Ovis aries: one gene and its partners. Each later gene encodes a partner of the first gene's protein in a complex. Links are inferred from orthologs where the notes say so. Each region holds a gene or a part of one and is shown in the gene's direction. Other genes may lie near its edges.

The links. Proteins that work in one complex are often made in the same cells at the same time.
Region 2: KAT2A (region 1) and TADA2A share a complex: the UniProt entries of both Homo sapiens proteins name them as parts of the ADA2A-containing complex. The link is inferred for Ovis aries from reciprocal best matches to the Homo sapiens genes KAT2A and TADA2A.
Region 3: KAT2A (region 1) and KAT14 share a complex: the UniProt entries of both Homo sapiens proteins name them as parts of the ADA2A-containing complex. The link is inferred for Ovis aries from reciprocal best matches to the Homo sapiens genes KAT2A and KAT14.
Region 4: KAT2A (region 1) and TAF5 share a complex: the UniProt entries of both Homo sapiens proteins name them as parts of the TFTC-HAT complex. The link is inferred for Ovis aries from reciprocal best matches to the Homo sapiens genes KAT2A and TAF5.

The regions. Positions count from the first base shown.
Region 1 is NC_056064.1:41,984,078-41,989,245, reverse strand, and holds the start of KAT2A (histone acetyltransferase KAT2A), read left to right. Parts: upstream 1-1,737; 5' UTR 1,738-1,802; coding exon 1,803-2,141; intron 2,142-2,282; coding exon 2,283-2,406; intron 2,407-2,741; coding exon 2,742-2,887; intron 2,888-2,987; coding exon 2,988-3,077; intron 3,078-3,377; coding exon 3,378-3,559; intron 3,560-3,650; coding exon 3,651-3,842; intron 3,843-5,168. Other genes in the region: HSPB9 (heat shock protein beta-9), read right to left, coding at 1-338. UniProt on the Homo sapiens protein: Protein lysine acyltransferase that can act as a acetyltransferase, glutaryltransferase, succinyltransferase or malonyltransferase, depending on the context.
Region 2 is NC_056064.1:13,444,976-13,449,343, forward strand, and holds part of TADA2A (transcriptional adapter 2-alpha), read left to right. Parts: intron 1-1,215; coding exon 1,216-1,373; intron 1,374-2,443; coding exon 2,444-2,532; intron 2,533-3,754; coding exon 3,755-3,827; intron 3,828-4,368. UniProt on the Homo sapiens protein: Component of the ATAC complex, a complex with histone acetyltransferase activity on histones H3 and H4. Required for the function of some acidic activation domains, which activate transcription from a distant site. Binds double-stranded DNA.
Region 3 is NC_056066.1:37,949,873-37,953,139, forward strand, and holds part of KAT14 (cysteine-rich protein 2-binding protein), read left to right. Parts: intron 1-972; coding exon 973-1,146; 3' UTR 1,147-3,267. UniProt on the Homo sapiens protein: Component of the ATAC complex, a complex with histone acetyltransferase activity on histones H3 and H4. May function as a scaffold for the ATAC complex to promote ATAC complex stability. Has also weak histone acetyltransferase activity toward histone H4.
Region 4 is NC_056075.1:23,668,283-23,671,693, forward strand, and holds part of TAF5 (transcription initiation factor TFIID subunit 5), read left to right. Parts: intron 1-457; coding exon 458-587; intron 588-1,801; coding exon 1,802-1,966; intron 1,967-2,930; coding exon 2,931-3,108; intron 3,109-3,293; coding exon 3,294-3,411. UniProt on the Homo sapiens protein: The TFIID basal transcription factor complex plays a major role in the initiation of RNA polymerase II (Pol II)-dependent transcription.

The DNA.
Region 1 (5,168 bases):
GGATCCAGGTCCGGTGGTAGTGACATTTGCTGGTGCACCTTCTGCGCCACGCGGAAGCCGGTCCCATCCGGGTTGCAGCCCTCCAGTTGTCGCTGGCCAGTCACCACCAGGCATCCGCTGTTCACCTGAACCAACAGCTCCTCGGGGGTGAAGCCATGGGCATACAGTTTCATCTGGAAGCCATCCTCCGGGTGGACGTTGTCCCGCACAGCTGCCACATCCTCCGTGAGCCGCTGCACCGGTAGAGTGGCCACCTGGTTCTGTTCAATAAAGGCCACGCTGGGACATCGGGAGGCCGACTGGCTCCCGCTAGGGAGACTGCCACCGACCCGCTGCATCCGAGTGAGCAACTGCTGTTGGGCTCGAGGCTCAGAACTTAGCGGCCTGTCGGAGCTGGGGGGGCGGGGCCTCGTGGCCCCGCGTCGTTACACTAGCGCTGCGCGCTGCGCTGAGCAGCTCTGAGCAGGGCGCTCCCTTGGCTTCCAGAGAGGTTCGGTTCCGCTGAGTTTGAGGTCAGCTCTGCTCCGGGAGTTGGTGATGGACAGGGAGGCCTGGCGTGCTGCGATTCATGGGGTCGTAAAGAGTAGGACACGACTGAGCGACTGAACTGAACTGAACTGAACTGCATGTCCTACCTCCACGGGTCAGGTTGGCAGCTGCTCTGTAGCCTCTTGCTGCTGCTTTTATCCCAGATCCTGCTCCTTTTTTGGTCAGGGCTCTGTCCTACCTCCATCACAGGGCCGGGCGGCCAGGGCTGTGACCCAACAAAAGAGGTTGGCAGTGCTTGAGCCCGACCCTGCAGCGGTCACTAGCATGGAGTGAAGATGAGATTGAGCCATGAGATTCTTGCTCTTCTGCGAATCAGGCCTTGGGGCAAGGAGGATTGCCCCCGAACAGAGCCATCAGTGTGACCACGGGGTCATTGGTTCTTGTAATATCCTACAGTTCTCTGACCACATATGAACCTGTACTAGAAGATGAACGCGTCTTTCTGGTTTCCTTCATTCATCCTACCCTTGGCCTATCGCGGCAGGCTCAGAGCTGGGCTCTGGGACCACAAAGATGAAGACGTGGGCCCTGACTGGGAGGTGCCCACGGTGTGGGTGTATAGCACGTCCCATGCTCCCTCATCCCCACCTCAGGAGCCTTTTTCCTGACCCTGGCCATTACTCTGACGCTCAGTGCTTTTAATAATAAACCTCTTTTTGTTGAAGTATAAGTTAACACAGAGAAAAGCGCACAAAGCACAACCATGTAACCACTTAACAGGTCAAGAAATAGAACTATTGTTATTTAATCACCACCCTAGTCGCAAAGAGTCTGACACGACTGAGCAACTGAATTGAACTGAACTAGCTACAATTCTGTGTCCAGAAACGTGGGGGATAGGGGCAGAGTGAGGGGAGGAGGGAGGTGGGCATGAAACCACTACACTTCTGGCCCCAGGCCTGGATTTCCACCTTTATGGCTTGAGAGGTGATTCCCCAAACAGAAGCCTGTTTTCTGGGGTGCTTCTCCTTGCCCTCAAAAGGCAGTAATCTTGACTACCTCGGAAGCCTTCTAAAAGGATTACAAGTGAGGAGGAGTCAATCTGGGGTGCTGGCTCGAGCCTCATTTGGCTGTCCGGGATCGAGGGACAGGACAGAAAAGTCTGGAACCTGGAGGCGACGAAACTAATCGTGAAAGACTACAACTCCCATCATACTCTGGGGCAGCGACGCCTGCGCATTGAATGCCGGTTGCCCATGCGGCCCTAGGGCTGGGAGCGCCGCGCTGCGCCGCGCTCCGCTTCTGGGGAGGCCATGGCGGAACCTTCCCAGGCCTCTACCCCGGCCCCTGCCGCGCAGCCCCGTCCGCTTCAGTCCCCAGCCCCTGCCCCAACTCCGACTCCTACCCTCAGCCCAGCTTCGGCCCCCACTCCGGCTCCCACTCCGGCACCAGCCCCTGCCCCAGCTACAGCCCCAGCCGGGAGCACAGGGACTGGGGGGCCCGGGGTAGGAAGTGGGGGTACCGGGAGCGGGGGTGATCCGGCTCGACCTGGCCTGAGCCAGCAGCAGCGCGCCAGCCAAAGGAAGGCGCAAGTCCGGGGGCTGCCGCGCGCCAAGAAGCTTGAGAAGCTAGGGGTCTTCTCGGCTTGCAAGGTGGGGGCGGGGCCTGGGGGTAACAGGGGGCGGGGCTTGGGGCATCCTAGGGCTTGGGTGGGAATCCGGGCAAAGCTGTGACAGGGGAGCGGCTACTCTTCCCCGGGTTACACGCTTATTGACTGATACTTCTGCTTCCAGGCCAATGAAACCTGCAAGTGTAATGGCTGGAAAAACCCCAAGCCCCCCACTGCACCCCGCATGGATCTGCAGCAGCCAGCGGCGAACCTGAGCGAGCTGTGCCGCAGCTGTGAGCACCCTTTGGGTAAGGCAGATAGTACCCGTGGAACTGGGGTTGGGGAGGTGGAAGTGCTGGGTCCTGCTTGGACAGGACCACTCAGTTTCATCTCTGAAAGACAGAAGATGCCTCCTAAGGAGGAATTGGGCTGGGAGTGTGTATGCCCCAAGGAAGCAGAAAGGAAACCTCCCACCAAAAGAGACAAGAGGCCCCCCAGGGCTGACATAGGAGCAGTCAATCTCATTGCCTGGTCACACTGGTCAGAGGGACTCAGGATGTGTCTTGGCTGGCAATAATGAGGAGGAGGAAGTCCTGTTGATTTTTTTCTGTCAGTTTTCCCCAACTACCACTTATTCTTACAGCTGACCACGTGTCCCACCTGGAGAACGTGTCGGAGGATGAGATTAACCGGCTGCTGGGGATGGTGGTGGACGTGGAGAATCTGTTCATGTCTGTTCATAAGGAGGAGGACACGGACACCAAGCAGGTCTATTTCTACCTCTTCAAGGTGAGCTTCCTTCAAATGAGAGTGTGAGTGGGCAAAAGGGAGGCTGGGAAGGTCTGCAGCTCTGTGCTCCACTGATCTCTACCCCTCCCTCTTCCTGCAGCTCCTGCGGAAATGCATCCTGCAGATGACCCGGCCTGTGGTGGAGGGGTCCCTGGGCAGCCCCCCATTTGAGAAGCCTAATATTGAGCAGGTGGGATGAGGAAGGTGGTAAGAGGATTGAGGGCATCTTGGAGGAGCAGGGAGCCTGTGTTATCTGCCGCCCCCCACCTGCCCTGAGAACAGGGGAGAGGTTAGGAGAAAGGAGATTGCTTTGTGCTAATCTCAGGGTGGGTATACTAGGTGGGAAGCGGTATAATCTCTCCTGCTCAAAGTGAGAGTGAAAGCCCGAGAGAGCCCCCTGCCCTCAGGAAGCACCTTACTTTTGGATAAGAAGGCCATGCTAGCTGCTCACACCTCTTCTCCTATTTTTTCCCTTCCCCTCCCTGCCCAGGGCGTGCTAAACTTTGTGCAGTACAAGTTTAGTCACCTGGCTCCCCGGGAGCGGCAGACGATGTTCGAGCTCTCAAAGATGTTCCTGCTCTGCCTTAACTACTGGAAGCTTGAGACACCTGCCCAATTTCGGCAGAGGTCTCAGGCCGAGGATGTGGCTACCTACAAGGTCAATTACACCAGGTAGGTCCAGCCAGGGATAGCATGGGGGGAGGCTTGTAGGCTCAGCCTGAACTTGGTTTCTGCTCTCCCTTACCACCTCCTGCTCTTGCAGATGGCTCTGCTACTGCCACGTGCCCCAGAGCTGCGATAGCCTCCCCCGGTATGAGACCACTCACGTCTTCGGGCGCAGCCTTCTCCGCTCCATCTTCACGGTTACCCGGCGACAGCTGCTAGAGAAGTTCCGAGTAGAGAAGGACAAGCTGGTGCCCGAGAAGAGGACCCTCATCCTCACCCACTTCCCCAAGTAAGGCTCGTTCTGGCCCATCAGGACCTTGTACCACGCTCACATCCTCCCTCTTGTCCCCTTTTTCCAGGAAGGCTTCCTGGATTGGTCCCTCTTCTCCCTCCATGAACCTTCTGGGATCTGGACCTCTACCTGGGAGGCTTGCCCAAGGCCCAAGTGTAATTCACTAGCTCTTTGCCTGTCTGTATACTAGTGGGATGGCAGGTATATGGCCTGAGTGCTAGTGCTGCCCCTGCCCACCCACCTGGTAGACATGACTGCCTGTTTCCCGTGGGGCATGGACATAGCTCAGAATCCGTCTCACCACAGCATTCCAAGAGTACAGAGCTTACACTTGAAGAGAAGCCAATTTCCACCCCTGTTCTAGTCCTTCTGTAAGATTTTTCTCTGTTTTGCCACACTGTCTTTTCATTTTAAACGTGGTTCATAGGTATCCACAGATTTCCAAGTGGTGCAGTGGTAAAGAATCCACCTGCCAGTGCAGGAGATATAAGAGATGGGTTTCGATCCCTGGGTCAGGAAGATTCCCTGGAGGAGGGCATGGCAACCCACTCCAGTATTCCTGCCTGGAAAATTCCACGAACAGAGAAGCCTGGCAGGCTACAGTGTATGGGGTTGCACAGCGTCGGACTCGATGGAGCAACACACACAACCCACATACACACACACATCACATCACACACATACACACCACACCACACATACATACCCACCCCACACATACCCACCCCACATACACACCATACCAGACACACACCCCATATACACCACACCACACACACATACCCACCCCACACACACACCACACCACCCCACACACACCCCCACCCCACACATACACCCCCCACATACACACCACACCACACACACACACCCACACCACACCCACATACACACATACCCACCACACACACACACCACACCACACCACACCCACCACACACCACACACACCCCCACCCCACACATACACCCCCACATACACACCACACCACACATACACCCCCACACCACACCCACATACACACACACCTCACACACACACCCACACCACACATACACACCCCACACCCCCCACATCACACACCCCCCCCACACACACCACACCACACATACCCCACACATACACACCACACATACACACCACACACACCCACACACACACACGCCCCCACACACATCCCACACCGCACCACAGACACACACCCACGCCCCCCACACATACCCCACATACACACCACACCCACACACACACACCCCACATACACACACACCCCACATACACACCACACCCACACACACCACACCCACACACCCACCCCACACA
Region 2 (4,368 bases), about 29 Mb from region 1:
TCTTATGACCACATAGTTTATTAATGTTACCAGAGGACCCTTAAATAGCTCTTCCTTGTCCTGACTTCCTAGAGTATATCCTCTGTCAGATGTTGATAAAATATACTATGCTGCCTCCCTTATATCCAGGGCCTTGAAGAAACAGATTTGAATTCTATTCATATTTTGCTTATATTTATCAAGCATCATAAAATTTTGTTTACTATAGGAATACCGAAAATAGAAAAAAGTGATCATTTTCTTGCTAGGCTTCTTTGGCCTAGTTTTTCATTTTTTGTCTAAAAGAGGCTATTCCTCTTTGTACCCCTTCCTTAGCAAAGACCATCATTTGTCTCTCCGCTGTGGGTAAGGCACTAAGCTTGGTGGTGAGGATGCTGGAGCCAAGAATTATGACATGTATCCTGTCTCCAGGAAGCTTGTAGTCTAGTAGGGGAATCAGCATAAATGTACAGTTGGTTGAAGTACATAAATCAGAGCATAGTGATGCCTCAGGAGGCAAGTGAAGTGGAGGCACGTGCTTTAGGAGGCACAATACAAGTGAAGTGTCGTGGAAGAGAGAGGTTGCGAGGGGACTTTGAGAGATTTCACCTCGACTTCTGCATCATCTGGGCCAGGAGTCAGGGTTCTTTAGTACAAATTAAGTGGCTTTGACACTTCCGTGTTTTGTGTTCTCAAGCAAGTTTGTTAACTTCTTTGGGCCTCATTTTTTTCATCTGTGAAACTGAGATAGTAAATACACTACACAGTTAATACTAGCATTGATTGATTGTACATATTTCCAGCTTAGAGCTTGGTCTGTCATGAGAGCTCTAGTAAAGAAATGTTTGTTCACATGAAGTGTTTTGTAAACTATAAAATATGCAAATATAAATGTTCTGGCTTATTATTAATTATAGCAATTCTTTTGATAGAGCCTAGCTCACAGGGAAATTCACAGATTTTCTAATAATCTTCCTTATTTTGTTGAAAAGAAAAGGACTTTTTTAGATATTGGCACCTCTATCATGGAATAGCAGGATTTGAAACATCGGATTATACCAATGCTATGTTTATATTTGTCTCACTGTTCTGCCAGTAGCTGCATGATATCAGTTTGGGGGTATCAAATTCCACACATTGTATCAGTGGGGCTTAAAATATGGAAAAAACAAACCATACTTTGACCATTATGTATAATGAAAACTCTGCTTCCTTTTCTCACTTTCCACACTCTAGGCAGGATGTAGCCAATCAGATGTGCACCAAGACCAAGGAGGAGTGTGAGAAGCACTATATGAAGCATTTCATCAATAACCCTCTGTTTGCATCTACCCTGCTGAACCTGAAGCAAGCAGAGGAGGCAAAAACTGCTGATACAGCCATTCCATTTCACTGTAAGTACCTCCCTGTATCAGTAAGACAGTCTAGTGTGGAAATCATTATAATTAACCATCCCAGTATTAAGCCCAAGAAGCAATTTGTTATTTTCATTCACTTGGTTGTGGCAATTATAGCAAACTTATTTTTTTTTTCAATCTCATGTGACTTAGGGACTCATGGGTCTAACAAAACATAACCAAACCCATGATGAATTATAAGTGGACATCCTTTCTGAATGACTCCCAGGGCACAAATAATGAGATATGATTATTTTTCTTTCCCCTGCCTATTTCCTCATACTTTCTGGAGACAGTTTCGTAGCTGACTAACTCAAAACCTGGGGCTATCTCCTGTTTGGATAGCCCTTCGGATGTTAGCGCTTTGTTCTCAAATGGTTTAGACCATTTCTTCCTCATGGCAATGCAGTGAGACAGAAAGAGCAAGTGTTTTGGTTTTGCACACAAGGAACCTGAAATTCAGAAAGGTTAAATAATTTGTGCAAGATCACAGGACTAGTGACTCAATTCCAGCTCACTCCAAATCCAGTGGTGTTTTTGCCTATCAGTTGGATGGGATTTATAAATTGATACCTGAGAAGGGAGCTGAAGCAGACAGAGTAAATACTTAAGTTCTATAATGCTACAGAAAAGATCTTTGATTTTCTTTTATATTAGGGAAGTAAAAAGCAGAGGGAATTTTCCATATTTACTTAGAGGGTTCCCTAAATCTTAGTTTCTTTCTTTCTTTTTTTTTTTTTTTTTTCTTTTCCCTGCCCCTTGTAGCATGTGGGGTCTTAGTTCCCCAACCAGGAATCGAACCCATGTCCCTTGCAGAGGAAGTGCAGTCTTAACCACTAGACCACCAGGGAAGTCCCCTTAATTTCTTTATTAAGAAGTCAGTTTGTTTCCATAATACTTTACTTTTTTACTTTCCTTTATAAAAATCTTTTGAATTTTATTTATTCTCTCAGACACTATCTTTCTCCAAATAAAAATATTTCAGAATCTAAATGAGAACTTTTTTTGTGTTATTTTTTATGCCAGTATTTTATTAAGGTACTAAGAAAAACTCGAAATTCTTTCAGCTGCAGATGACCCTCCCCGACCTACCTTTGACTCCTTGCTTTCTCGGGACATGGCAGGATACATGCCAGCTCGAGCAGATTTCATTGAGGTAGGAGAAACTTGTTTTTGTTTCGGATGAGGCCATATCACTTACCTGTAGGTTTCATACCACTAAAAAGCTTTTCAAAACACTGTAATTTGTAGGGCCTTAGGCAGTCTCATTTTCTCTGAGTGCCTTTTCTCATTTGTAAACTTTTTTTTTTTTGGAAAGGTAGAAGTTCTTCAGACCAAGAACTTATTTCTTTACCACTAGTGCTACCTGGGAAGGCCCCTTAAGAACTTATTTCTTAAGTCCCATTTCCTTAGTAAGTATAGGGTTTCTGTAGTCTGATTCTCATTCCATACCTAGAGGGTTCCAAGGTTGTATTATGTCAGGGGGGTGGGAAACTTTTTCTATTAAGGTCCTGATAGTAAATATTTTAAATTTTATAGACCATAAAGTCTCTGTTGGAACTAAACTTTGCCATAATTGTGCAGAAAGCAGCATAGATAATAGTAAACAAATGAGCATGCTGGTGCACCAGTAAAACTTTATTTACAAAAATAGGCAGTGGGCTAAATTTGGTCTGTAGGCTGTAGTTTGCTGTCTTCTGTATTATATTCACAAGTGTATGAAGAATGATGAATGGGTGGAAAAGCTACCTGTTCTTGCAGCCATAAAGCCATGTGAATGCAGTCACATGTCTCTTGATTTACCACCTCATCCACAATTACAGCACTCCTGGAGGTAATTAAAGTTTAGCAAACTACAAACAGTTTTGCTGGCCACACCCAGGTCAGCATTTTGTTCTTGGCAGCTGCTGTTGTAGAGCTCCCTCGTAGACACTACCCCTGCGTATTGTACTCACTGAACAGAATATGAACAAATCTACCCACTGAGCTGTATAACCAATATTCTGGAATAAATAGAGCCCTCAGGTGGTGGTAGAAAGGTAGATGAATTAATGCACACAATTTTCTTACCTAAATACTTGAAGGACTAGTCAGAGTGAGATTTTCTTGATTTACATTTTATGAACAGACTACTTTTAGAACCAAATATTTATTCCTGGACTCATAGCGTTCTCATTTTTTTGCTGTCAGTATTGCCTGAAAGCCTCTCAGATTTTTCCCGTGATTTATTACTTATGGCAGTTATCCTGGCCTTGTACCCCATTCAGTACTTTTTAACAAGTGTTTGTATATTTGCTGTTTGCTTTTAATGCATGACTCCTATAAAGGCATTACTCAAAGCTGATGGATCTGAGGTGGGAATTTTTTTCCCCAAACAGGAGTTTGACAATTATGCGGAGTGGGACTTGAGAGATATTGATTTTGTCGAAGATGACTCGGACATTCTACACGGTAACATTTTATTTCAATAAGTGTTTCTATTGATTGCAACCTGTAATGAGACAGTGCTGGCTGCTAGGAATGTAAGAATGAATAAGATAGTCTCCTGCCCCTTATGGGACTGAAAGTATAGTGGTTAAGATGCTGAACATATCCTGTTGCCGGGATTTGACCATAATGAGAAGATCATTTGTGATGATGGTGAGAATGTTGATCATATAATGGTAGTTGGGAATATCCCATCTCTTGGACTATGTGAGCTTTCTTTTGAGACAAGCCTATGCTGAGGTAATTGTTTAAATGGTCCTCACTGCCTCCTTAAAAGAAAAGGAATCAGAGTGAAAACCTGGGACTTCAACAGCAACTACTGATACTAAATGTTCATTGTAATTTGTTACCCCAGATTTCTCATAGCAGGGGAAAAGAATGGAAGTTCAAGAGTTTTTAGACCAAGACTGAAAATTTCTTCTTTCTCAGAACTGTTGGATTTTTAGCACTTCTGAATTCTTAAGATTAGCCTGCTGTTGGTCTTTTGTTATAAGTAAATGGTTAA
Region 3 (3,267 bases), on another chromosome or scaffold:
TTTTTTCCCAGTTTTTAATGAAACTTGCTCAATAATTCTCACATGTTGGCATCTGTCCACCTTTGATGAGGCCTCTTAGTATAGGAAGCCTTAAGGACCCTGGGGTTGTAAAACCTCCAGGACTCATGAAGTCCACAGTCTCAGCACCTCCTCATTAAAGAGCCAGTTCTGAGTTTATGTAACTTCCGTTGCTCTCTTCTGTGTTGTTAATTAAAGAATCTGAGAACCTGCCTAGCTGCAGTAGAACAGACCCCCCTCTTTTTCCCCATGGGACAAGGCTGGTGGTACATGAAGAAACCTCAGTTCTGAGAAGTCTGGGAGTGCTGAGGGGGTCTTTGGGATTCAGAATGTCCCTAGGGGATACCCAGCTTGTATAATTAAACAGAAGTCTTGAGGTTTCATACTTGGTCACATAACTTGACATCTTTCCTAGTAGGTCCAGGGTGGGAGCATTTATGATTGTCTTGCAGGATGACATCTAGTTTTTAAAAACAGAACGTCTGATCTTGTCCCTTGTTTTTTCAAGGTTGTCATAGGGTTTGGTATTGTTACGCTGGATATACTTAAATGTAACTGAATTATAAAACAGTTGGCAGTGAAATATCCCCAGTGGCTCTTTGCTCCAGAGAGAAAAAACTGGAGGTTTTACAAACCAGGGTCCTTAAGGCTTCCTATACTAAGAGGCCTCATCAAAGGTGGACAGACACCAACATGTGGGAATTACTGAGTAAGTTTCATTAAAAACTGGGGAAAAACATTCAATCCGCTTACCGTCCACCACCTCAGTCTGGAACGTTTCAGCGAGGGTTCTTGGGTTCCCCCACAGGCGCTGGCTGGTGGTCCCGTACCCCAGCCTCAGGCCGGACTCTTCCAGCCTCTGTACCTGACTGCCTTAAAGTCAGGGACTCTCTCCACCCACTCCTTTTCCCCGAGGCCCTCTCGTTCTCACTGTGTGCTTCTCCACTCTTGCAGACCTGCATGGGCAAGGACGTGACCCTGCACGTCTCCGCCAGCAACCCTGCCATGCTGCTCTACCAGAAGTTCGGGTTCAAGACGGAAGAGTACGTCTTAGACTTTTATGACAAGTATTACCCCCTGGAGAGCACGGAGTGTAAGCACGCGTTCTTTCTGCGTCTGCGACGCTGACGTGAGCGCGGCTCCTCACGGGACACACGCGCTTGGAGGAGAGGGCTGACGTGAGCGCGGCTCCTCCCAGGGCACACACTTGGAGGAGAGGGCTGACGTGAGCGTGGCTCCTCACGGGACACACGCGCTTGGAGGAGAGGGCTGACGTGAGTGCGGGTCAGCCAAGACTGCCAGGTGTGCCGACCTTCAGCCGAAAGCGCGTTGAGCCAGAAAGGCCTGAGCTGATGTTCCTGAGGAGAGAAGGTCTGTCCCATTTAAAGTGAGCAGGGTGATTGTAGTCCAAGATCCTTGCCATGTCCACTAGGCCCTGTGCCGTCCTGGTGACGACCACATGCTGACTCAGCCTGTCCCAACCCGGCTGTGCTGTCCCCAGAGCGGGGCATGCGCTGACTTTGGTTACAGTGTCTTGTGTGAGACGTCACCTGACCTTTCTCCTGTGAGCATGTCCGGCTGGGGCCCTGGCCTGGGAGGCGAGAGCTGTTCTCCTGTCCTGTCAAGTAAGGTCAGTTTGGGGCTGGAGGAGCTGGGCAGCCTCCTGTTTGATTGTGCCCCTGACGAAGGTGTGCGGTGGTGGAGGGGTCAGCCGTGGACAGACACACCTTGCGTCTGCCTGCCGAGGCTGTTGGCTGGCTTGTGGAGAGTGGAAGTGGACCATCAGTCAGGTGCTTTTGGATTTAGTAGAAATGCTTCCCACAGTATCAGATGTTCTCAAATAAAATATCTTTTTGTGACAACCTGTGGCCAGTCTAGCCAGTTTGCTCTCCAGCTCTCTTAAGAGCAGTAGTTTTTATTTTGTGGGTGGTTGGCGGGGTGGGGGTGGGACACGATTCCGTTTGAGAATGCAAGGAAAGCTCTGCATATGTAAAATTTTGCATCTGTGATCCTTGTACACCAGGACCTCTGTTCTGGAGTCTGTGCTTAGAGGGAGCTGGAATCCCTTCATTCAAGGGAAATGTGTGTGTCTCCCCCAAGGGAAAAGTCTGAGACTGTCCTGTCACATGTCTCTGATAACTGGGATGGGCTCCAGGGCTCCGCAGGCTCTTTTCCCCTCCCCCACAAGACCCAGGCTGGATATACGGGGTCACTCAGATACCAGGTTCCCCAGGGCAACAATGAGCCTTCGAGAAGAGAGTCTTCTGGAGGGAGGTTCAAGAGGGAGGGGACATATGTATACCTATGGCTGATTCATGTTGAGGGTTGACAGAAAACAATAAAATTCTGTAGAGCAGTTATCCTTCAATTAAAAAAATATAAAAGGGGTCTTCTGGGCTCTTCTCACCCTCTTCCCTTTCAGAGAGTCAGCACCACCCTGGCCTTCCAGAGACCCCCCAGCAGACTGGGAGGGGCCAGCTATCACCTGATGTGCACTTGGCCTTAAGGTATAGGTTTTTAACAGTACAGATGTGTTATATTCTACTCTCTGAGTGTATCCGTTTTAATGCTTAAGTGACCCCTCAGTCAGTCTCTCCCATCAGGAATCTTCCATAAATGTATTATCCTTATCCATCAGAGGGCAGACAGAATGAAAACCACAATCTCAGAAAACTAATCAAACTGATCACATGGACCACAGCCTTATCTGACTCATTGAAACTGAGCCATGCTGTGTAGGGCCACCCAAGACAGATGGATCATGGTGGAGAGTTCTGACAAAACGCAGTCCACTGGAGAAGGGAATGGCAAACCGTATTCTTGCCTTGAGAACTCCATGAACAGCATGAAAAGGCACAAAGATAGGAAGGACACTGAAAGATGAACTCCCCAAGTTGGTAGGTGCCCAATATGCTGCTGGAGATCGGTGGAGAACTAACTCCAGAAAGAATGAAAAGACAGAGCCAAAGCAAAAATAACACCCAATTGTGGATGTGACTGGTGATGGAAGTAAAGTCTGATGCTGTAAAGAGCCGTATTGCATATGAACCTGGAATGTTAGGTCCTTGAATCAAGGTAAATTAGTAGTCGTCAAGCAGAAGATGGCAAGAGTGAACATCAATATTTTAGGAATTAACAAACTAAAATGGACTGGAATGGGTGAATTTTAACTCAGATGACCATTATATATACTACTGTGGGAGGAGAAGGGGACAACTGAGGATGAGATGGTTGGATGGCATCACTGAC
Region 4 (3,411 bases), on another chromosome or scaffold:
AATTAAAAAAAAAAGAGTCTTAAATACTGGGAGAGTACTTTTCTGTTTTAGCCATAAAAATGGCTAAAATGAACTAAGATCAGGGTTACATTTTAAAGTTTCTTGCTAGTTGTATTGCTTAAACAAGATAACACATGCTCAATAATTTATTTTAATATCTCTGTAGTTTTATTTTATAAAACATTGTGATCTAGTGGATAAATTGAGTTTCAGCCCTAGTTCCAAGGCTAAGTAGCTGTGTGCACTTTGGCATGTTATTAAGTGTTCTGAACCTCACTTTCTTCTCTTGTACCCTGAAATGATAGCACCTAATTTAAAGGCATTAGCATAGTGATTGGTAAGTAGGAGGAACAGTTCAAATGTTAGTTCTTCTCCTAAACTCTGATATATTAAATAATTGCCTTAAATTGTTTTAATAAATGTATTTTTTAAAAGTAATATTTCTGGATCATTTTAGATCTTAGCCTGATAGATAAAGAATCTGATGATGTCTTAGAAAGAATCATGGATGAGAAAACAGCAAGTGAGCTGAAGATCTTGTATGGTCACAGTGGTCCCGTCTATGGAGCCAGCTTCAGTCCAGATAGGTAAAATACAAACTATAAGAATTAAATATTGCTATATTAATTGAGATTAAATGAAAGTTATATGAAATATATATGTGTGTTATGTGAAAGTTAACTACTAGAAACATTATGCAAATGTTGGGGAAAATAAGAAAAATCCCATGGTTGCCTATCATTCATTATCTTTTAGAATCTTGCCCTCTGCTAATTCATCTTGGGGTACTGGTGTATAGTAGCTAAATTTACAAAATCAGGATCCATAACTTCAGGGTTTGCTGGTTATAAAAATTAGCTTTAGTTTTGTGTAACTCCTATAGGGGTTGAGGATTGCTTCTTTGGGTTCCTGCTATGTGTTTGGTGGCTACTGCTGTCTTCTGCAGAGAAGGCAACGGCACCCCACTCCAGTACTCTTGCCTGGAAAATCCCATGGACTGAGGAGCCTGGTAGGCTGCAGTCCATGGAGTCGCTAAGAGTTGGACACAACTGAGCGACTTCACTTTCACTTTTCACTTTCATGCATTGAAGGAAATGGCAACCCACTCCAGTGTTCTTGCCTGGAGAATCCCAGGGACGGGGGAGCCTGGTGGACTGCCATCTGTGGGGTCGCAGAGTCGGACATGACTGAAACAATTCAGCAGCAGCAGCAGCAGTCTTCTGTCATCTCCAAATTCACAACAGATTCCTGCTATTAAAGGCATATTACCTATCAACTGAAGATTTATCTTTGTATAATCAAAAGAACTAATACTGATAAGGGAATTAGAAACCCATGAAAATGTTTATTTTTCATGATCTCTTAATATTCTATAGCAATATGGGGAGGGTATTTTTTTGTTTTGTAATACCATCTATGTCTTATTGCTTTCAGTCCAAAATCGTTCATAAAGATTTTCATCTTTACGAAACTTAGAGTAGAAGCCTTTTTCAGGTGACCTGATTTGACCATACTTTTTGTCATTACCTCTTGTTTTGTTTTTTTCCAAAGAACTGTGATTTTCTTAATAGATACTGTTTTTAAAAAAACCTAAGCTTATTCAGTAGGTGCTCAGTGGATGTAGTGTCATGGCCAACATTAGTACTTTCAACTCTTGTTATCTACTGTGAATTTCAGGCATAAATTAAAACTGAGATGTAGTAGTCAGTTACCTATATTTAACATATACAAACATACAGAGAAACTGGACAGGTAACTAAGTTATTCTAGGAATCAAATACGTTACCTTCTCTTTTCTCAGGAACTACCTGCTCTCCTCTTCAGAGGATGGAACTGTTAGATTGTGGAGTCTTCAAACATTTACTTGCTTGGTGGGATATAAAGGACACAACTATCCAGTGTGGGACACACAGTTTTCTCCATATGGATATTATTTTGTATCAGGGGGCCATGACAGAGTAGCTCGGTAAGAACATTATGAGCTTAGGACTGGGCCTGTTCAACGAACAGAATGGTTTCTTGTTGGGAATTACAAACCCCAGCCAACTTATTTTCACTTCTGTTATTATCAGCTTTTTGAGAATGTCAGCATTGGTAGGTCATCTGAAAACTAATTTGGGACAGAAATATTTCTGTCTGCAATCATGTCTACACCAAGAGTCCATGCCCTCCCCTTCCCCAAGTGGATACTAAACCTTGTCTTTTGCGGCCACTGTGAGCCCTTTCCCTGTCATATCTTTAAAAGTTCAGGATGAGGTAGCTTGGGTTTGAAATTATTTGTGGTCGCTCCCCTCCCCCCCCACCACTGGGGGCTTCCCTTGTGGCTCAATTAGTAAAGAATCTGCCTGCAATGCCAGAGACCCGGGTTTGATCCCTGGGTTGGGAGGATCCCTTGGAGAAGGAAGTGGCAACCCACTCTAGTTATTCTTGCTTGGGAAATCCCGTGCAGAATAGCCTGGTGGCTTCAGTGTATGGGGCTGCAGAGTCGGACACAACTTGGTGAGTAAACCACCATGTGGTAGCCAAAACGAGGGAAAAATACTCTAGCAGTTAGACTAGGAGTTAGAGTGTACATTCAGAGAATTAAAGGATTATAGAATTAAAAACCTTTTGGACCATGTTAACTGTTTTAAGAATGTTTAGGGAATTCCCTGGTAGTCCAGTGGTTAGGACTTGGTGCTTTCACTGCTGAGGGCACTAGTTAAATCCCTGGTTGGGGAACTAAGATCCTGCAAGCTGCATGGCATAGCTTTAAAAAAACACAAAAGATTAGTCTCTAAGTCATTCTGTCCTCCTTTCCCTCAGGTAAACTAGTGAGGGGGACCCACTTACGCTAATATTTCACATGGTTGTTTCTGTATTTTGGATAGAACTTGGCATTTCAGAGTTAACTACTAATTACCTTGTGTGTTCAATAATTTTTTAAAAAGGCTCTGGGCTACAGATCACTATCAGCCTTTACGGATATTTGCTGGCCATCTTGCTGATGTGAATTGTACCAGATTCCATCCAAATTCTAATTATGTTGCTACGGGCTCTGCAGACAGAACTGTGCGGCTCTGGGATGTCCTGAATGGGAACTGCGTAAGGATATTCACTGGACACAAGGTATTTTAACTTTCATTATTCCAGCACACAAGGTTAAGATTAAAAATAGTTTAAAAATTAACTAGTGACATACATTTTAAAGATACTGTCAACACCACTCAAGTTTATGTTAATATAGTTCTTTTGTCTCATTTTCCTAGGTGTTTTTAACCTTACTTTTGATTCTTGTCATGACTTTATTTTAGGGACCAATTCATTCCTTGACATTTTCTCCCAATGGGAGATTCCTGGCTACAGGAGCAACAGATGGCAGAGTACTCCTTTGGGATATTGGACATGGTTTGATGGTTGGAGAGTTAAAAG